Stegostoma tigrinum: one gene and its partners. The protein of the gene in region 2 binds, or shares a complex with, the protein of the main gene of each other region. Links are inferred from orthologs where the notes say so. Each region holds a gene or a part of one and is shown on either strand. Other genes may lie near its edges. The genes, in order: anks4b, cdhr2 and cdhr5b.

Evidence for each region.
Region 1: cdhr2 (region 2) and anks4b share a complex: the UniProt entries of both Homo sapiens proteins name them as parts of the IMAC/intermicrovillar adhesion complex. The link is inferred for Stegostoma tigrinum from reciprocal best matches to the Homo sapiens genes CDHR2 and ANKS4B.
Region 3: cdhr2 (region 2) and cdhr5b share a complex: the UniProt entries of both Homo sapiens proteins name them as parts of the IMAC/intermicrovillar adhesion complex. The link is inferred for Stegostoma tigrinum from reciprocal best matches to the Homo sapiens genes CDHR2 and CDHR5.

Annotation. Positions count from the first base shown.
Region 1 is NC_081376.1:33,800,164-33,807,524, reverse strand, and holds the start of anks4b (ankyrin repeat and SAM domain-containing protein 4B), read right to left. Parts: upstream 3,009-7,361; 5' UTR 2,882-3,008; coding exon 2,718-2,881; exon of another isoform or gene 945-2,717; coding exon 1-944. Other genes in the region: slc25a17l (peroxisomal membrane protein PMP34), read left to right, coding at 6,567-6,635. UniProt on the Homo sapiens protein: As part of the intermicrovillar adhesion complex/IMAC plays a role in epithelial brush border differentiation, controlling microvilli organization and length. Plays a role in assembly of the complex.
Region 2 is NC_081366.1:45,702,521-45,709,734, forward strand, and holds the start of cdhr2 (cadherin-related family member 2), read right to left. Parts: upstream 3,060-7,214; 5' UTR 2,991-3,059; intron 1-2,990. UniProt on the Homo sapiens protein: Intermicrovillar adhesion molecule that forms, via its extracellular domain, calcium-dependent heterophilic complexes with CDHR5 on adjacent microvilli. Thereby, controls the packing of microvilli at the apical membrane of epithelial cells.
Region 3 is NC_081370.1:35,282,243-35,289,603, reverse strand, and holds the start of cdhr5b (cadherin-related family member 5), read right to left. Parts: upstream 3,066-7,361; 5' UTR 2,856-3,065; coding exon 2,744-2,855; intron 2,654-2,743; coding exon 2,481-2,653; intron 1-2,480. UniProt on the Homo sapiens protein: Intermicrovillar adhesion molecule that forms, via its extracellular domain, calcium-dependent heterophilic complexes with CDHR2 on adjacent microvilli. Thereby, controls the packing of microvilli at the apical membrane of epithelial cells.

The DNA of each region.
Region 1 (7,361 bases), on a different chromosome or scaffold from region 2:
TATTCTGACAGGCCAAGAAGGTTTCAAGTGGTGTCGTCTCAGGCTCATCATCATCCAGACCGATATCATCTTCGTTCCAGGGCAAATCATCTTCCTCTTCTTCACTGAAAGCTTCAAGATCTGGAGACATTTCCTTGGGCTTCAACACTATGCTGCGCAATTTGGAACCAATGTCTTCTACTTCATTACTGCTGAACATTTCCTCTTCCACGTTTAAACCCAGAACAAAATTCCGCCTGAAGAGCATATTTCCCAATCCTGGTCGATTGAAGAGAGACTCATGACCGAAGTTGTTATCATAGTCAGAGGATTTCAAATCAGAAGAAGCTGCATTCTCTTCATCTCCTTCATTAAACACATCCAGTACATTGGCCCGAATCCCAATGTCTCGTTCTTGCTTTACAAAAATGACATCCTTTTCTAGTTGCTGCTGAGTGAAGCTTTTGCTGTTATCCTTCTTCTTAAGTCTCTTCTGCAGAGATCCTTTGATAATGGAAGAAATGGTACCTTTGTGTTGTGGTTCACTTACTGTAGAGAGGTTGCTGACACTGGATATAGTTCCTTGCTGTACTGAAGAAGCAGCACCTTCACTTTGGGCTTCCATCTCCCGGCTATACTTCTTGTTCATCCGATTTTGGTGCTTTTTCTTGCGTTTTTCACACAGTTTGATTTGTTTCTCACTGTCCTTTACTGCCTTTTCTTTTAGCCTGGCCACCTGTTTCGGATTCATGGTGATGTGCTTGGTGGCAGCTGTGTCCAGGAAGCGGACACATTCCATTCGATCCTTACTGGCAGCAGCATCCATGGCAGAATGGAAATCATTGTCCAAAGCCCAAATATTTGCACCAAAGTTAACCAAGAAAGTGACAATGTGAAGGTGGCCATTGGTTGAAGCGTGGTGCAGAGGTGTATTGCCCCAGATATCACAGATATCAGGATCGCCACTGAAGTACAAGCACAAAGAGTTGATTTGATACAGGGTTTTACATAATGTCGTGAGTCTTTTGCTTCAAATTCTCAAACTACACATTTTTCCTAGCACTGGTAGTACATGTTGATCTGGGTTATTAACCTCCTGATTCTTTACCCAAGTTGTCATTCTTGATACTTTGCCTCAGACAGTGAGTGCTGAGTTGACCTTAAAAGACATCATGGGCAAGTCTGATCTAACCTACAATTTGAATGGGATGCTTATGCCTGCAGTAGCCGAGAGTAGCTTAGTGAAGACCAGCTCATTTAATGGAGACTAGAACCTAAGTCTAGGGTATGTGTCCAACTGAGCAGGACAAGTAATAACTAGGCTAACAGACACACTCAGCACTTCCAATAACTAGTGCAGCAGACTATGCCCACTGCTTACAACTTTGGCACTCTGCCCTCTGAGTCAGAAGGATATGGGTTCCAATTCCACTCCAAAAACACGAGCACTTAATCCAAATGGGCCCTTCATTATAGTACTGAAGGAGTTCTAGACTGTTAGGAGGTGCTAATCCTGCGGATGAGATAGTAAATGTGGCCCTATCTGTGTTCTTAAGTGGACATAAATGATCCCAATAAATTATTCAAAGAAGAGTAGGCAAGCTCATCCCCATGTTGTGGACAATATTTATCCCTTGATCAATCACTGAATCAGATTGTCTGGTCATCATTACATTGCTCTTTGTGGAGTTTGCTGTGTATAAGTTGGCAGGTTGTGATACAAACATCACAAAAGTGATTACACTTCATAAAGTACTCAATTAAATGTACAGCACTTTGGGGTACATGTGGTTCTGGTGGACAATGGTATAAAAATGCATACTTTGTGCTTTTTCCCCTCTCTCCCATGTGATTGGAGTGCTTGGCACATTGAACCCTTGACAAAGTTTGACAGTGACCGGCAAATAATCTATATCTGTCGTGACTTTGAGCAATGCTGCAGGTAGACATGCCTGATCCGTGACTTTACAATCATGATTTGTGACATCAATTCACGTTGATGAGAGGCACACCCCTGACACATTACATCACAATGTATTTCTGTGGATTCCTCTGCTGTTTAATTACAAAAATATTTATTTTATATTAATTTGGATTCTTTCTGTAATGGGATCTTTCCCCCATATAACAAATAGTTCAAGGAAAGTTTGTCAACTGAGAACCTGCAACATTGTCTGAATGTCTATTACCTCAAAGCACTTTTACAAAATAAATTCTCAATTAAAGGAAATATAAATTTAAAAATAATGATTAAACTGCTTCAAATAAACATTGAATGACTTGCAATTATATACAGCCTTTCACAAAGTCAAAATGTTCCAAAAACTTTCCAAATAAAGAACGACTTTTTTGTGCAGAGACTTTTACAGTAGGAGATTTGATAGCCAATTTGTGTTAAACGAGCTTCCACCGACAGTAATAATATAATGTTTGGACTATAGTCTTCGTGACGTTTAAAGACGAATGTTGGACTGAGCTGCAGGGATACTCCTCCTGTCCTTCAAAATAGAACCGTGGGACCTTTTACATTGCCCTGCTTAGGCCTTAGTTTAAGGACTCATAATGAAAGAAAGCATCTCGAACAGTGCAGCACTCTCAGATCAGTTCAGCCTGGATGATTTAAAGCGATTGCAGTGTATCTTAATCTACAATCCTCTTCCCCTCTGAAACAGATGATCATTTTATTTGGAAAAAGAACCATGAAGGGTAACATAAAAGAGTCAGGTTGTGACACTCACCCTCTGCTGCAGATGAGCTGCAGAGCCTCCAAATGGCCGTGATATGCCGCCCAAAGCGTCGGGGTCATTCCGTCCTCATCGGGACTGTTCAGATCCCTCTTTGTGGCCTCCTTCAGGGGACCGAGGTAGCCATCCCTGGCCGCTTTGTGGTACCTCTCAGTCATGGCTCAAATCCTGAGGCTGGCCTTCACACACTCACAGCGTTCGCAGCTGGAGGGAGCAGCCAGTGAGCGAGGACCGGGAGATGGAGTGGCACCGCCCAGGGTGGGAACAAGGTCCACTCTCCAGAGAGTGCAGATTTAAGGCAGGCCAGCTGACGAGATTATCAGGTGTTGTTTCCCCCGTTACTTCCTCCTGTTTCTTGAGCACATTTATGTGATTTAAACATTGTTTAATGTAAATTGCAGTCTGCAAAAGGGCACCATTTATCTGCCTAAACTGAAAACCAAACGAATGTCTGTGTTTGCATGTTAGTTATCCCTTCCATTGTTTATCCGTTAAATACTTCAACTGTTTTTGCATTTTCGCAATAAATACTTCAACTGTTTTTGCATTTTCGCAATGCAAGGTTCCCGCTGCTTCGCATCGATTGTGTCTCTGATATTTGCAACTAAATCCTCAGCGGTTTTTTTTGTCATTTTAGTTTTATCTATTTGTTTAGGAAACATGGATCGACCTTAAAATGTTCTAACTGTATAACACCAACCGACCTTTGAATTATAGGTTGATGTCAAATTCTCTTCTCACTCGATGTCCTCGAGTTGTAATAAATTATTACGGTTGAGAAGCGAAGTGTGAATCATAATGATAATCAATGGGAGAGTAAGACGTTTTGAGAAGCAACCGCTTGCAGCCAGAGATACACGGGATTTTGGGGGAGGGGGTGTGGTAGTGGTCAGTGAACCATTAACGACAGATTCATTCATTTCGTCCGGAGATTGTTTATGCCAAACACACTCAGAAATAACGCAGTAAATCGGGGTCCTTAATATGTCAGAGAGAATGAGTGCAGCTTACAACCGAAACATGGAGAATTACATTTATTTATATTGCAACTTTCACGTCCTTTCACGTCAAACTATTTTTCTGTAACCAATGAAGCACTTTTTGAAGTGTACACTAGTGAGGAAACAGCAGCCAAGCTTCCACGTACAGTATCTCGGTGAATATTGTTGTAAACACCAACATTACAACACTGACTACATTCAAAACGAATTGGCTGCGATATAGTTGGATCGGTCTGATATACAGTAACAACTGGTTCACGCTCCTAAAATTACCAGTCGGTGTGAAGATGAGAGGGTGATTCATGCAGACTTCTGCCATTGCTGGCTGTGGCTGTGGTGATTAAAAGTACCTCTGTACACATCATTTAGAACAACCTAGCCCCTGTGTGAGAGGGTTGGTATCGCGCAAAGTAACAAAATAGATAAATGATTTGATAACTCTTTAATCGAACATTACCCTCTATTTTCTCTTACAGATACTCATTAATTTGACATCTGCTTGCAAAGTTTTCTGCTTGCTTTGAATAACGGAACAGGTTTCGGGGCTCAATGGTCCTCCCTTGCTCCTAACTTTTTTTGGCTCTGTTGTTTTTGTTCTTGTTTCAGAGCTGCAGCGTTTGCATCTTTTAAAAAAGAAATAAAGGTGAGATTGTGAGGCTGCAAACTTCTAAAAATGTCCAAAATGCAACCTTTTAAACACAAGAACTGACCTTCCCTGCTGCCCAATTCACCAGCCACATTTGAAGACTGGTAAACCTGGATGGAGCAGATTCCATTTCTGAATGGTAAGTGAAAAATGAACAATGGACACCATTTTTTAATTGGATGTGGTTGTCACTGGGTGGGCATTTATTGCCTCTCTCTAATTGGGAAGATGGTGAAAGGGTGATGGTGAGTTGCCTTCTGGAAATACTGCAGTCCATGCGCTGGAAGTAGACCCACAATTCTATTGGGGAGGGAGGCCCACAGGATTTGGACCTGGCAACAGTGAAAGAATGCTGATATATTTCCAGGTCAACGTTGGGACTGGCTTGGAGGAGAACTGGCAGGTTGTAGTTTTTCCATGTATTTGTTGTCCTTGTATTTCTAGATGGTGTCAATCACAGGTTGGAAGATACCGTCGATGGACCCTTCTTGAATTTCTGCAGTGCATCATGTCGATGGTGTGCACTGCTACTTCTGAATGTTGGTAGTGGAACAACTGAATGCTTGTGGGTGTAGTACCAATCAAGCAGGCTGCTTTGCTCTGGATGGTGTTGAGCTTCTTGAGTGCTGTTGGGGCTGCACCCATCCAGGCAAGTGGGGAGTATTCCATCACACTCCTGACTGGAGCCTTGTTGATGATAGAGAGACATTGGGGAATCAGGGGGTAAGTTACTCGCTGCAGTATTCCTAGCTTCTGACCTGCTCTTGTAGCCATTGTATTTATGTGGCTAGTCCAGTTCAGTTTCTGATCAAAGATAACCCGCCAGAATGTTAACAGTGGAGGATTCAATGAGGTTTATGCCAGTGAATGTCAAAGGGCAATGATCAGATTCTGTCTTGTTGGAGATGATCTTGGCTTGGCATTTGTGGGGCACAGATGTTATTTACTACTTGTCAGCCCAAACCTGTATATTGTCCAAATCTTGCTGCATTTGAACGTGGACTGCTTCAGTATCTGAGGACTCCTGAATATTGCTGAATATCGTGCAATCATCAACAACATCCCCACTTCTGACGTTATGATAGAGGAAAAGTCATTGACGAAGCAGCTAAAGATGGTTGGGCCTAGGACACTACCCTGAGGAACTGCTGCTGAAATGTCCTGCCGCTAAGATGACTCCAACAACCACAATCCAATCACCTTTCTTTGTGCCAGAGATGACGCCAGCCAATGGAGTGTTCTGTCCCTGATTTCCAATCATTTTAGTTTTGCTAGGACTCCTTAATGCCACACTAGGTCAAATATGGTATTAATGTCAAGGTTAGTCACTCCCTCCACACCTCTGGAATTCAGGTCTCTTACCCACATTTGAACTGAGGCCCTAATGAAGTCAGGTGGCGGAACACAAGCTGAGCATCAGTCGCCTTATAGCATTGTTGATGAATCTCCTATCACTTTTACGAATGATCGAGAGTAGTAATTGGGCATGTTGGGGATTTATCTTGCTTTTGATGGACAGGACATATATGGGCAATTTTCCACATTACTGGAAAATGTCAGAGGATCTTCATGTTCGTTTTTTTGAATGCTGTTGCTGTTATATTTGCTTGGTTACTCGCATCTTTGTCTTACAAAATATACTCGATTCATAATTTATCTGTATAAAAAATCGAGTCGGACATTACATTAGATTGAATAAAAATTACATTTCTGAGCTAAACATTTTGTACACGTGTGCGTATGTGCAAAATTGGCACATTTACTGAATTTGACCAGAAACGATATACATTTCAATACCAGCTACAAAGGGGTTCTCTATGTTAACAGCCTCTCGGTACATGATTATAGAAAGACCTCAGTTTTGGATGCGTGAGGAACATACGTTTTCTTTCACTGTTAGTGCCTCTGACTGAATCAGTGTCTCTATGCCACACCTGGAAGTTCAATGTTTGTTCTTTTTTTAACGCCGGAATACGCTGGGTCCGATTTTAATCCCGCAAATGGCTAGATTTTAAATGAGTTTGCCTGCCGCCCAATTCCTTCTCCAGCCGGACGTCCTTGAACATTTTCACCAACAGAGGGCGTGGGTTTGCTCAAAGTATTTCTCCGAGTGCTGGGTGGAGCCGGAGTTAAAGGAAGACTCTGTATTTCTCTATAGATTGGCGAACAATCCTGCTTTCATTTCTTGGATTAATAATGAAGGGCTCTGCCAGCTCTTCTCTTGCTTCCTACGAGACACTTGTGCACGCAGTGGCTGGGATGGTGGTAAGTTGTGGGATGACCTGGAGTTTAAACACGGTGGATACACCGTGCACCAGGCACTTCAATTAGAACAACACACACCCCGGTCTCCAAACCTCACCGGGAGTGTGTTAGGTGAAAACTGGAGCCTCGGGGTAACCCGCCTGGTTAAAGCTTCAGCCCAGCGTTCCTCGCAGCGTTCTGTTGAATGCTCTGAATTTTACATGTGAGCGTCCAGGGTTGGGCTGCATCCGTATTCCAGCCTCAGATTTCCTGGTTGGGTTTTGTCAATGTGCAGACCCAGTCATTGTGTTACTCTGTGACTAGCTGAACTTTTCCGCCCGTTCAGTGCAGATTTAAGTTAAATCTGCCCCGAGGTTAAAAAAAACACTTGAAAGACCCATCTGTAAGAGAAAGTTTGAGAAAGATTTTTCAAAGGATAAAAGAGGTAGGCTCCTGGATCGGCTGAAGCGTGCTCTCCTGCTGATTCATTTCAGTTTCGGTGGCACAGTGTTTAATGTATCTCAAATCTTTGGAAATAACCCCAGGGATTGAGTGTCGATGTCATCTCTCCCCCGTCATTAATCTAACAAACATTTCCCTCGGCAATTTCCCGAGGGAGAATTTCGGAGCCTTTCTCGCGCTCTGACGAGGCTGCAGAAATAGTGATCCCTCTGTCAGCTCCCCTGTGACTGGATGTTTTCATGTGATTTTCCTTTTCGCAACGTGCTTGTGCAACTGTATTTTCCA
Region 2 (7,214 bases):
GCTGTCACAAGCTATCATGTCACATCAGTGCTAACTGCTGGACTGGAATTGTGTTCACAAGGACAGGGTGGCAATCCTACCCCGTAGCCAGAACAACAACAACTGCCAGAATTTTTTTTTCCACCATATCATTTCTTGGAGCTTCTAAGGACTTTATGGGTCCTCAACTCATTATTGCTTCAAGGGTGTCACTGAATCTCCCCTCACAAGAAGATCCCTTCCATTTAATCTCAGTCGCCCTCAATGCAACCAGTCAAACAGCTCCATCATTTGGCTTTCCAACTGTTGCAGGTTTTTCACAGGGTGAACATGCAATTGTTTGCAACCGTAGAACAATCAGAGTACCCTGTTGTGAACCAAAAAAGCATTCCACTTCCTTAGTGTTCACATTATTTGTGACCACAACACTCCAGGTATTGCAGGATTGTGTTATATATTCAGGGATCCACCCTAACGTGCACACCAGGGTGACTCATTGGTGCCATCATCTTTCAAAGGCCCTCAAACCATACAAGGACAGTTTCTGGATGGCAAATAGAATCTCCTCTGTACCTGGTTGATAACATCTTGAAGAAATCCTGTGACTGTTGCCAAGGGAGATACAACTCTTCAACCAGAGCTATTGTAGAATAGACTGAGTCCTTCTGAATATGTGGCTTCCAAGCCTGAACCAGACAGGTAGTACCTTACAGCATACCACAGACAGTGCGTGCCTCATCATGGTGATGTTTTGTGCCCTCCACAAAGAAGTATATAAAATTATGAGAGGCCTGGTTAGGGCAGATAGTCAGAGAATTTTTCCCAGGGTGGAAATGCGAAATACTAGAGGGTATAGGTTTAAAGTGAGGGGAGCAGTTTAAAAGAGTCATGCAAGGCAAGTTTTTTACACAGAGGGTTGTAAGTGCCTGGAATGCTCTGCCAGAGAAGGCAGTAGAAGCAGATATGATAGCAATATTTAAGGAATAAAGACCATGTACAGACAGATGGGATTAGTTTAGAATGGCACAGACATTGTGGGTTGGAGGGACTGCTTCTGTTCTTTTTTATATTCTACAAACGTCAGAGACCTTGAGCATTTCTTCCTCCACTAGCTGCGGACAAGTGTCAGGCTCTGACCATTTGTGAATTGCCTGTGTAGTGGCACAGTTTGACTGAATGATAGTTCTATGTGTACTATCAGAAAAAAGATGATGTCAGCTCTCCCCTTGTGGAGGGAGTCATTGACCCTTTTCCTGCACTACAAGTTGTTTCTCCTGTGGGGAACAACAGCATTGACACATGCTGCAAGGATGTGTCTGATGGGATAGATTCCTGATGCCATCACCAGGAACAGGAAGATCCTTCTAATGATGATGCAGCAGGGTAGCATCAGTAAACCAGGGAGACAGTAGAACCTTCCTTGCAGGCATTTCTGGGCTTGGGGGGTTACACACTGCAGGCTAACTGGAAATCCCTTGTTTCCCGGTTTTTTTAAGTGGTGTCCAACTGGCATTTAAAGATGGCACCTGAACCTTCAACACCAAAAGGTCGCAACAGCACTGACAGCGATGAGGCTTGTGCATCATTACACAGAGAATGAGCTTACATTCACATAATCATGAGGTAATTGCATTGGTAGATACGATGCCATCCAATATGCTCGATGTTACAGGATGGAAAGTTATGCCCAGAGTGTATACAAAGAGAAGAATTAAAATAATGGTTATGAGGCCAAATGACAGTGATCACTGACCACTGTACTTTCTCTTGTCCTAAGTGCAAAAACATGATGAAATTGTGCTATTATACCATGTTGATCTCATTTTCCAAGGCAAAATAAAAGTAGGAGTTAATTTACATAATTATAAAATAATTGGGGGTCATGATCATATAAAATGACTTCTACAATGTCTACATAGCAACATAGGAGTAGTGTAGGGCACCCAGCACACTGGGCCTGTGCTACCATTCAACATGATTATGGCTGATTGAAAACTTTGACATCTTCACTTATACACTATTCCCAGAACCCTTTACGCCATGAGTAATCAAAGATTTATCAACCTCTACCTCAAATATTGTCAAAATCTACCTTGCACAGCCCCCTAGAGGGATGAATTCCAGACATTCACAACTCTCTAAGTAAAAGAAAATCTCCTCATTTCAGTCCTAACTAGCATCCACTTACTGTTCAATAGTGTACCCTTGCTCCAGACCCACAACTAGGGGAAAAATCTTACCTGCATTTATCCCATCTATCCCTTTAAGAATTTTGTAAGTTTCAATTAGATCACCTCCCATTCTTCAAAACTCCAGAGAATACGGGCCATTTTACCCAATCTCATGAAGGGGGCTGTGTGGATTTCAAAACCCAATGTACATTTTCAGTTTCAGTTTATAAAAATGGCATGGAAATTGAAAGCACACTTTGGTGCTACAGTGAAATATGCTCTCAGGTTGTGACAGCAATTTCAGATTTCACCAAAGACCTCGGCACCAAATGAAAAAGGCACTTTCTCACAGAGCGGGAAGGAGGAATAAAAGTCGGTGGATATGAACACGCGACTAAAAAATCAAATATCGCAGTATTAGCGGGTGTCACCATGGTTTGTCTGCTCCTCTGTATTTGGCACAGATTGATATGTAGTGTTAATAATGGAGGTAGTTACATTACTTGGTTTGCAAAGTGAAAAACTAAGGTAGAAAGAAATCCACTCATCATTTCCTGTCATGGCGAAATGGCCAGTAGTATATATAAATGACAATGAATGTAAATATCTTTCACTTGGGATGTACTTTACAATCCCCATACAAATACATTTTCGCTAGCATACGTTGAATTCCAAAATAAAGAATATTGCACTGTTTTCAAATAAATATATCCAATGATAGCAAATTACCTCAAAAACTTTTGTGTCAAATTCTAAGGCATCGAACAGTAATAAATTATCACAGGATAATTAACTCAAGTTTTCAATTTGTGTATGCTCTAAGAAGATGTGACTACTTACGATTTTTACTGGAACCTTCTTTGTGTGAAATCTATTCTCTCATCGTTGGTTGACACTGATGGACTTTTACTTGTTTTACAGTTGAAGCAGTAAACCTTCCTACGTTATAAATGTTACTGATTAACAAATCACAACTGACAGAAGGTGTTCGCAATGGTACAAACACTTCCTTCATGAGTCAGAGAGAAGAAAACAATTAATTGACAAGCAACTGGCTACTTGTTAGTAAACCATGAGACAAAATTTGAAACCTATCAACATAAATCTTAACATACGTATAGCAAAAACATTGATATTTTATATTATTTAATTTCTTACACTTTTCCTGTATATATCTATATATATCAACAGGTTTGTACAGGCAAGGACCTTATTCTCTAGGTAATGAAGCAGATGCTTATGTAATTGAAAGATTATTCTGCTGTTTCTGCCACTATGAATTTGTTGCTTGCCTTCATTAGCTGAGGCAAGGAATATAGGAGCAAAGAAGTCTTCTTCCAATTTTAAAAAAATATTAGTTAGGCCACAGGTGGAAGGCTGTGTGCAGATTTTGTCACCACACTATCTGAAGGACCTGACTGCACTGGGAAGGATGCCAAGGAGATTCACCAGGCTGTTGCCTCAGTTATGAGGACAGACTGGGTAGGCTGGGTTTGTTTTCCTTGGAGCAGAGGAGGCTGAGGAGTGTTCTGATTGAGGTATACAAAATTATTTGAGGCTTAAGCAAAGTAGATTTTTTTTCCCCAAAGCAGATATGTCGAAGAGCAGACGGCATAAGTTTAAAGTGAACAGTAAGTGATTTAGAAATCCGAAATTAAAAATTCACCCAGAGGGTGGCAGAAATATGGAATATGCTGCCCGAGAGGATGGTGGAGGCATTCACTCTCACAACATTTAAGAAGCATCTGGATGAGTACTTAATATGCCAGGGCATAGTGAGCTACAGACCAAGTGCAGGTAAATGGGATTAGTTAGTTTGGTGTTTGTTGGTTGACCTAGACACGGTGGGCACTGTGCCTGTTTCTATTCTGTATGACCCTATGACTTTCTATGACTCTATAAAAAGCAGCCCATTTGATTGGCACCACATCCATAAACATTCAATCCCTCCATTGCTGATGCTCAGTAACAGCAGTGTCTACCATCCACATGATGAATTGCAGAAATTCACCAAGGCTCCTTAAATAGCACCTTCAAAACCCATGACCACTACCACCTAGATGATCAAGGGCAGCCGACGTATGGGAATGCCACCATGTGCAAATTCCTCTCCAAGTCACACACCGTCCTGATTTGGAAATACATCAAAGTTGCTTCATTGTCACTAGGTCAAAATCCCAGAACTGCCTCCGTGATAGTATAGTGTGTGTACCAACGTCTGCCCTTGCTTCCAGTCATGGTCTTATGTCCCTGATCACTAATCAAACCAGGAAACCCTATCCTCAGGAATGTGACTGCCTCATGGAAAAAGGTGTCTGGGTATCTTTCCCTCTCGCAGTGTTAGCCACTCCATCTTCAGCTCAATAACTCCGTGCTGAAATTCCTGCATATTATATCCTGGATCACTCCAGGACCGAAAAACACCCACCTTTTGAAATTCATGATTTATTTTGGCTGTCCCAAATTGCCACAAAAGTAAAACACTTTTAACATGTTGAGAAAGCAATCAATGTCGCTGAACCATATAAGGTGTTTATGACAAATCTGAATTTGAAATAGTTGGTCTTCCTAATGCATTTAGGGAGTTCAGAGTTAAGAAAATTTATGCACTTTTACTGGTAAACTTAACATCTATAGTCAGGAATCTTTCAATTTAAGATTATGTGAGTGAATATTCATCAGTTACTAGGAAGTTAACACTTGTTGTCAATTACCATACAATGTAAATATTATAGGTGCAAATGGAATATTGAAGGTGTTCAGACCAGAAGATTTAACTGCTAATAGCAATTTTATTTTCAGCAAATCACTGAGTTCCCCTTGGTGTATTTTATATAAATAGTATTTTAATTTTACGTATAAAAACAAATATATTCACCTATTTGTTTACTTTTTATTTGAATCCACCAGTGACACACTGAACATTTTCCAGAAAATAATTCAGGATGATTGTTGTAATTGATAGCATGTGAACTTTGAGTCTGGTTATAAGCTCTAAAGAATTCACTTACTGTGCAATAAAATGGTGGAAGGCTAGATAACAAACAGTATGATGGCATAAACCAAATGTAACCCTGGCAACAGAAATCATACAATACCTTTAAACCTTGTGATCTAATAATCTCAGTCCTACAGTGGATCTAGCTGTGTTGTCATTTTTGATTAATTACTTACCCACAACATGAGGATTGCTGTTACAAATCATTCTACAAACATGGTTCTTCTGTAAAATGGCAAGCAGCTCTCATCTTCTATATTCATAATGTCATGACTTCAGATGGTACTCATCCAGTGTACTAAAAATTTCACTGCCTTTTATCCTACTTTCACCCGAGATTGTTCCATATTTAGCACATGGTCATGTGTACCAAATCTTAAAATTCATGAATTAACAATTGGTTAACTCTTTTCCATTGGGTGAATCAGTAAAGGAGGGCAGCCTGGTGCTATGTATTTGATGACTGTATGATAAGATCACTGATCCCATGACCACAACCTTTACCTCTGACAGTTTGTGCCAGCTTCTGAGATTTACATGGATTGATTTTACAGTTTTCCAGGAAAATTGATTAAGAAGGAGTTTGTAACTGACTGGCTTCATCGACACGGAAATAAAGGTAAAGTCGCCGTAATCTCACCAGACCATAGGGCTGCTTTCTAGAGAGAAATGAATGGTGGTAGTTTAAACTGAGGGTCACCGGACCTCAGGCAAAGGGAGAGGTTAAAAAAAACAATGCCACATGCTAACCTCAATCAGAATAGGAACTGAACCCACACAGCTGGTATCTCTCTACTTCTCAAAGCTGTCAAGGCAACTGAGCTAAACTAGCCCCCTCTACATGAAAATATCAAATAAAGTAGCTGTTGCTTCATGTTGGTTATAAAGAAAGGCTGGATAGGCTGGGACTTTTTTCACTGGAGCATAGGAGTTTGAGAGATGACCTAATAGACATTTATAAAATAATGAGAGGCACAGAGAGAGTTAATGGTAGTTGTCTTTTTCCCTAAGATGGGGATTTCAAGAGTAAGGGGCACATTTGTGAAGTGAGAGGAGAGAGATTTACACAGAGAGGGATTTGCATGTGGAATGAAGTTTCTGAGGAAGCGGGGGATGTGGGTACAATTCCAATGTTTAAAAGATATTTGGAGAATTATATGAATAGGAAAGATTTGGAGGATATGGGCCAGGAGCAGGCAGGTGGGACAAGCTTAGTTTGGGATTATGTTCGACACGGGCTGGTTGGACTGAAGGTCACTTTCCATGCTGTATGACTCTGTTAAGGCACAACAGTGACTTCAGGAAGAATGAAAGGTGTTGATATGCACTTGAATATCTTGCTATCCCTCAATGTAGTGGTAATCCTCAGTATAAACAGCATATAAACAAATAAATTTCAAAAAGTTAATATATCATATGACATTGTGTGTTGATAACATTTTATTGAGAGATAAAACTATGCTCCTAACAGCAAAACAGCCAAGAAAACTAGGAGACAGACTTCATGATGTTCATGACAATCAGATTATTGAAAACTGCTGGCAGCACTACAAGATGATGGGATGGAGATTAAACATTAACCAATGGGAATTTAGATATTTCTAAAAGTTGAGGAGGAGGCAGTGGGGGTTCAAGTTCCTATTTATTTTAAGAATGAATCTAGGGTAGCCCTTCTATCTTCTCTGCTTCTGTACCTAGCAGTCTTCACTCTCACTCTGGGATGGCACAGCCAAACTCCCATAGAATATGTTCCCAACCTACCAGAATGATAATCTCACTTTCCAAGTCAATTTCTCCTAGACTGGGTTCGTGAAATTGTAAATTGTGCCGGCTCTGCGCTCTCTGCCCCACAACAGAAATTCAGGCCTAAATATGTAATGTATATCTGCCAATATTAAAAAGTCTGCTTCAAAATGCCAGAAAACCTGATCTAATTAGTGTTAAAGATAAAAATTTGCTTATGTTTATCTTCTAAATTTATTAGTACTTTTACTTTATGGAAAGTAGCAGTAACTGCTGCAAAAGGGGACAGAGTTTCAGTCGCAAAGCACAGTTGCCTATGTGGA
Region 3 (7,361 bases), on a different chromosome or scaffold from region 2:
TACACAGTAAACAGACACAACATGATGACAAATATAGGCCTGAGTTTTACACCCACAATTAGTGTGTGTGTGTCCCCCAACTCTACCCTCACCACAAACATAAAATATGGCACACTGACATCAGATTGACAATTCTGGCACCAGGTGCCAGTCTCAGAGAATACAGAAAGCAGATAGACAAGGAAATCAGAAGATTATCCAACATTTAGAGATAAACAAAAACTATTGAGCTTCTTTCAAAAGAAATCACTTGCTTGCAATTTTTTTCATCATCTAGTGCATTTTTCAGAATGTTGGATGGGCCAAAGTTTGTGTGTATTTTTTTACAGCATTGACTTGGCTCACCGAGACGAGTGAGCAAGAAGCAAGCAGACTAGCTATTTGTCATTCTGCTTCCTGCACTTCGCCAATAAACATAAGCCCCAGTACCCTGTCCCAGAACTTTCAAATGAGCTCACTGCTTTTGTGTAAATCCTTACGAATGTTTCTTTCACCACTTGGTGAGTTGAATCACAAGTACTATGTCACTTATTCAATGCCTTACATGGGGCATGAAATGGGAGGACAGGAAAGCAACAGGAGATATTGCTGACTGGGAAGGAGTGGTTTGAGGTACTCTTTCACACGTTACAGCCTGTCCCTATGGTGCCGTGAGCAATTGCCATTGGTTGAGAACTTACCGTGTTCTAATTTAAAACAAAAACTGAGAGGGAAGTAAAGCGTACTTTAGCCTTTATCACAAGAGGTTACTGTAAAGGTGTAAGAAAATCTTGCTGCTATTATGTTGGATATGGATCTGAAAGGGTTAATGCTGAGACGTGCCTTAAGGACTCCACTCTGTGATAATGTCATGTGGACCTGATGGGAGTACAGCTTAGGATCTCTGAGGTATAATGGAAAATGGCTGCTCGTCTCAGTAATCAATGTAATTTGTACATAGTTGTTTAAATGTATATAAATGGGAACTTGTTAGAAACAAAAGCCTCTTCTTGTTAGACCAGCCAATGGTTTTCCTCTAACGTATGAGATCAGCTGGCCCTCTAAGACCCCACCTTAAAAGAGGATGGTGGCTGAAGGCCTACTGCATGATGAGCAATCGTGCAAACAGTCTCACGCAACAATGTTGTGTGCAGAGATCGTTGCTCACGCAACATATTACACGGAGCCTTGGTAACACTCAGCCTGGAGTACTAAGTATAGTTTTGGTTCCCCTTACCTAAGGAAGGATAAACCTGCCAAAAAGGAAGAGCAACAAAATTTCATGAGATTGATCCTGAAATGAGATGGCTGTCATATGAGGAGAAATTTAGTAGAAGGGGCCTATATTCTATGTCAATTAGAAGAATGAATAGTGTTCTTATCGAAATACGTGAAAGTTTGTGAAGTTGGAACATCGAGAGGCTGTCCAGCTGAGCTCACAATAACGGGTCTGAAACATGGGTACAAGAGGGGACAATTTAGTCCATCAAAACTGTTCTACCATTCAATGGTTGATTTATGATGTAACTCCATTTCCATGCCTACTTATCACTTAATATCATTAGCTGACAAAAAAGTGTTCAATTTCAAATGTAAAATTAATAGTTGATCCAGCATCAAATGCTTCTTACAGGAGAGAGTTCCAAGCTTCTACTACCCTTGCAGTGTTAAGGTTTGTCTTAAGCTTACTTCTGAAAACTCAGCTTTTAATTTATAGACTGTATCGTTGCATCCTGCTCTTCCCGCCAGACAACTACTGTTGTGTCTAGCTATCCTCTTTGTTTCTTATGATATCTTCAAAATTTAGATTAAATCATCCCTAATATTTCTAAATTTCAGGGAATTGAGGCCGAACGTGTGTAATGGTCCCTTGTAATTTCACTCTGGGAGCTGAGTATCTTTCAGGTAAATCCTTTCAAGGCCAATGCAACTATACCCCTGTGTCTGTGTGGATCTCCTGTCTTCCTGTGGCTGTGTGAATCTCCTGTCTCTCCCTGTGTTTGTGTGGAGCTCCTGTCTTCCTGTGGCTGTGTGAATCTCCTGTCTCTCCCTGTGTTTGTGTGGAGCTCCTGTCCCCAGTGACTGTCAGGATCTCCTGTCCCCCTGTGACTGTCTGGATCTCCTGTCTCCCTGTCACTGTCAGGATCTCCTGTCCCCCTGTGTCTGTATGGATCTCCTGTCTCCCTGTCACTGTCAGGATCTCCTGTCCCCCTGTGTCTATATGGATCTCCTGTCTCCCTGTCACTGTCAGGATCTCCTGTCCCCCTGTGTCTGTATGGATCTCCTGTCTCCCTGCCACTGTCTGGATCTCCTGTCCCCCTGTGACTGTCTGGAGCTCCTGTCTCCCTGTGACTGACTGGAGCTCCTGTCTCCCTGTGACTGACTGGAGCTCCTGTCTCCCTGTGACTGGAGCTCTGGCCTCCCTCCAACTGTCTGGAACAACTATTTCCCTGTGTGTATCTTGAGCTCCTGTTTCCCTGCGACTGGTTCATTGAGATTACCTCAAAATCGATTGTTTTTGTGAGCACCAGTGTGGTCCCATTGACAGCAACATCAGGTGTCTTTGACGGATCTAATATTGTAACCGGAGGTTCCCTTATTGTTATATTACTGATGACCAGGTTTGCATTGTTATTCTCTTTCACGTGTATGGGATTTTCTGAAACACAACAAGCTAGAGAAAGATAGAAAGGACGTTAAACTTACAGTTAAAAAGGGACAAACAAAACAATTGTTCATGCATAATATGAAAGGTGTGGCTTACCCTTGTTGGGAGAGCAGTGGTTATTAACAGCAGCAGTTGCATTTATCTGAAGAACTGCGAACAGGATGAACAGCAAGATGTGGGGGCCACAAATCGTGCGGCTTGTGTCCATTCTCTCTTGGACGCTGAAGATTTTTGCCAAAAATCATAAATAAAGCCTCACTAGGCCCAAGTCACTGAACCGAAACTGTCCCAGCCTCAACCGCTTCTTTCTGTTAGCAGCTTGAAAGGAATCCGAATCAAAATAGACTGACGGAAATATTGGTGCTTGTTGTTCCAACCTTTGCTTCATGGCGTTATTACTTTATTGCTATTCTGCATACCCAGTCACTGTTTAATTCCCACTATGGAAAGTCATAAAAGCTGATCACATCCTGCACTGACACGCCACTGGCTGCTCGTCAAAGGCTAATGAGATACAGTCTCACTTCAAGTGGGTGTGAATGTTTCATAGATTCCTTACAGTGTGGAACCAGGCCCTTCGGCCCTACAGGTCCACAGTGATCCTCAGACCCAGGCCCTATAACCCACCTAATCTACACATCCCTGAATGCTACAGGCAACTTAGCATGGCCAATCCACCTAGCCTGCACTTCTTTCAACTGTGGAGAGAAATCAAAGCACTCAGAGGAAACCCACACAGACACAGGGAGAACGTGCAAACCCCATGTAGGCAGTCACCCGGGGATGGGCTTGAACCTGTGTCTCTGGTGGTGTGAGGCAGCAGTGCTAACCACTGAGCCACCATGCTACCCTCTCCAAACTGTTGACAGATCTGAAAAATACATTTCCTGATAGACGCTTCTGATCAAAGTCTCCAACTGCTCTCCAAGGGCCTATTACATTGCTTCCAAGGGTGGGACTTTAAAGGAGGACACCAGCACCCACACCCCAGCTTTCCCAACCACCACTCATACTATTAATTGCCTCTTAAGCACTTCCCCCAACTGTCTCTAATAGTTCACCAGCCTCAGAGGAGAGGGTGGTAGAGGCTTGCTCATGTCCCTTGGTGGATGTTGTGAATAAGATAGATCACTTGTAAGCCAGAGTCATGCCTACTCTTGGGACTTTGTCCACCATCACCACGGTAATATCTGGCTCTGCTTACTCTACACTTAACATCCTGATCCTGGCCTTCACCATTTCTCATCCAGGGCACAGCAGCCTGGTCCCAGTTCCAAGAAGTGATCATCATTGGGAACTGAATGCTAGCCCAGCAGTTTCACAACTCCCAGTGGCACTCCTCAGGCTGGAGAGCTATGACCAGGTCTCAGAGAGGGAGCCTCATCCTAAAGGGGCATGAGTATCCCTCTGTGATTGAAGGATTTCACATTAATTCCCCTAAACACAATCTAGGAACACTTGCCTCTTGCTGCCCCTTACTTGGTTTCTATCCCAGTCTATACCCAGATAGTTAATGACGCTATGATGTTGACCCCTCGCTAGAATTTCTTTGTAAATTTGTTCCTGTACACTATTCCCATGCGGTGGTGATCTATAGATTGCATTGAACAATGTAGTTATATTCCTTAGTTCTAACTAAATTAATTCCACCCTTGACCTCTCTGAAATCTCTTTCTCCAGAACTGCAATGATGTCCTTACCCTAAAACCCTCTGAATCCTCTCCTCTGATAACAAAGTGTGGAGCTGGGTGAACACAGCAGGCCAAGCAGCATCTCAGGAGCACAAAAGCTGACATTTTGGGCCTAGACCCTTCATCAGAGAGGGGGATGGGGAGAGGGAACTGGAATAAATAGGGAGAGAGGGGGAGGCGGACCGAAGATGGAGAGGAAAGAAGATAGGTAGAGAGGAGAGTATAGGTGAGCAGGTAGGGAGGGGATAGGTCAGTCCAGGAAAGACGGACAGGTCAAGGAGGTGGGATGAGGTTAGTAGGTAGGAGATGGAGGTACGGCTTGGGGTGGGAGGAAGGGATGGGTGAGAGGAAGAACAGGTTAGGGAAGCGAAGACAGGCTGGGCTTGTTTTGGGATGCAGAGGCGGGAGGGGAAGACCTGGGCTGGTTTTGGGATGCAGTGGGGGAAGGGGAGATTTTGAAGCTTGTGAAGTCCACATTGATACCATTGGGCTGCAGGGTTCCCAAGCGGAATATGAGTTGCTGTTCCTGCAACCTTTGGGTGGCATCATTGTGGCACTGCAGGAGGCCCATGATGGACATGTTGTCTGAGGAATGGGAGGGGGAGTTAAAATGGTTCGCGACTGGGAGGTGCAGTTGTTTGTTGCGAACCGAGCGGAAGTGTTCTGCAAAGCGGTCCCCAAGCCTCCGCTTGGTTTCCCCAATGTAGAGGAAGCCACACCGAGTACAATGGATACAAATACCACATTGGCAAATGTGCAGGTGAACATCTGCTTAATATGGAAAGTCATCTTGGGGCCTGGGATGGGGGTGAGGGAGGAGGTGTGGGGGCAAGTGTAGCACTTCCTGCGGTTGCAGGGGAAGGTGCTGGGTGTGGTGGGGTTGGAGGAGAGTGTGGAGAAGACAAGGGAGTCCCGGAGAGAGAGTGGTCTCTCTGGAAGGCAGACAAGGGTGGGGATGGAAAAATGCCTTGGGTGCTGGGGTCGGATTGTAGATGGCGGAAGTGTCGGAGGATGATGCGTTGTATCTGGAGGTTGGTGGGGTGGTATGTGAGAACGAGGGGGATCCTCTGGGGGTGGTTGTGGTGGGGGCGGGGTGTGAGGGATGTGTTGCGGGAAATGCGGGAGACGCGGTCAAGGGCGTTCTCGACCACTCCGGGGGGAAGGTTGCGGTCCTTGAAGAACGTAGACATCTGGGACGTGCGGGAGTGGAATGCCTCATACTGGGAGCAGATGCGGCGGAGGCGGAGGAATACCAGCCCAGTTCTTCCCCACCGCCACCCCCCCAACTGCATCACAAAACCAGCCCAGCTCGTTCCCTCCCCCCACTGCATCCCAAAGCCAGCCCAGCCTCTCTCCGCTTCCCTAACCTGTTCTTCCTCTCACCCATCCCTTCCTCCCACCTCAAGCCGCACCTCCATTTCCTACCTACTAACCTCATCCCACCTCCTTGACCTGCCCGTCTTCCCTGGACTGACCTATCCCCTCCCTACCTCCTCACCTATACTCTCCTCTCCACCTATCTTCTTTTCTCTCCATCTTCGGTGCACCTCCCCCTCTCTCCCTATTTATTCCAGAACCCTCTCCCCATCCCCCTCTCTGATGAAGAGTCTAGGCCCAAAACATCAGCTTTTGTGCTCCTGAGATGCTACTTGGCCTGCTGCGTTCATCCAGCTTCACACTTTGTTATCTTGGATTCTCCAGCATCTGCAGTTCCCATTATCACATCATTAATCCTCTCCTCTGTTTTTTTTTCCTCTTCTATCTCTTCAGACTGTCTTACAAGCAGGAATATTTAACACCCAGACCTGCCCTTCTCTGTTATCACACAGCATCACAATTTCACATGACAGTCTGCACCTTGTAGCTCCCCAGTGTTATTAACTGTGCTTTGTATGTTCACATACATGCAGTGTATTCAGACTTCATTACTTTCTCTCTCAATCTGACTCCACTGATTATAATTTACTCTTCTCTATTTTTGCGCTATCTGCCTCTCCCAGAATTTTGTGCTCCTTTGAATTACTTTCTATTAGCCTGTCCTGGTTCCCACACCCTTGCTGAGTTATTTTAACATCTCCCCAACAGCACTAGTAAAACATGCGTCAAGGTACTCAGCCCTGGTTCTGTTCAGGTGCAAGCTTTCTGACTTGTATAGAGGTCATCTTTCACAGGGCCCAGTGCCAATGTCCCAGGGATTCAAAGCCCAGCATTCACCTGCCTAATCCTCATATTTCTGTACTCACTTGCTTTTGGGACTGAGACTAATCTGAAGTTTGCTACTTTAGAGGATTGTTCTCACAGGGCTCCTTAAAGTATGATTGCAGGCCCGCATTCCCTTTTCTCCCTCTGTTGTTAGTTTCAGTGTGGGAGATACCACCACTGCCTGTTCAACCTCCCCCAGAAGAATGTCTGTGATATCACTGATCATAGCACCAACGACACAACAGACCATCCTGGAATCACATCAATGGCTGCAAAAATGCCTGCCTGCTTCCCTTACCATAGAATTCCCTTTCAATACTGCCCTTTCACTCTGATTGCTCCACTCGTGCAGAGCTGGGCTACCTGTAGTGCCATTAGCTTGACTCTTGTTACACTCCAATATCTAGAAAGAAAACAGCTAGCCAGCAGGACCACTGGGGATTCTTGCAGTACCCTCCTGTTTCTCTTGGTTTGCTGGTATCAGTCATTCCTGAACTGCCTTTTTACGTTCCTTATCCCTAATTTGGAGCATGACAACATCTGTGTGTGCGCAGTCCATGTAGATTGCTGCACCTCAGTGATTCCAGCTGTTGCTCCAGCTCTGATGCTCAGAGCTCAGGTTTATGCATCATGGTCACTTCCAGCCCAACTGGGTCGTGAGATGATAAAGTGTGAAGCTGGATGAACACAGCAGGCCAAGCAGCGTCTCAGGAGCACAGAAGCTGACGTTTCAGGCCTAGACCCTTCATCAGAGCTCTGATGATGGGTCTAGGCCCGAAACGTCAGCTTTTGTGCTCCTCAGATGCTGCTTGGCCTGCTGT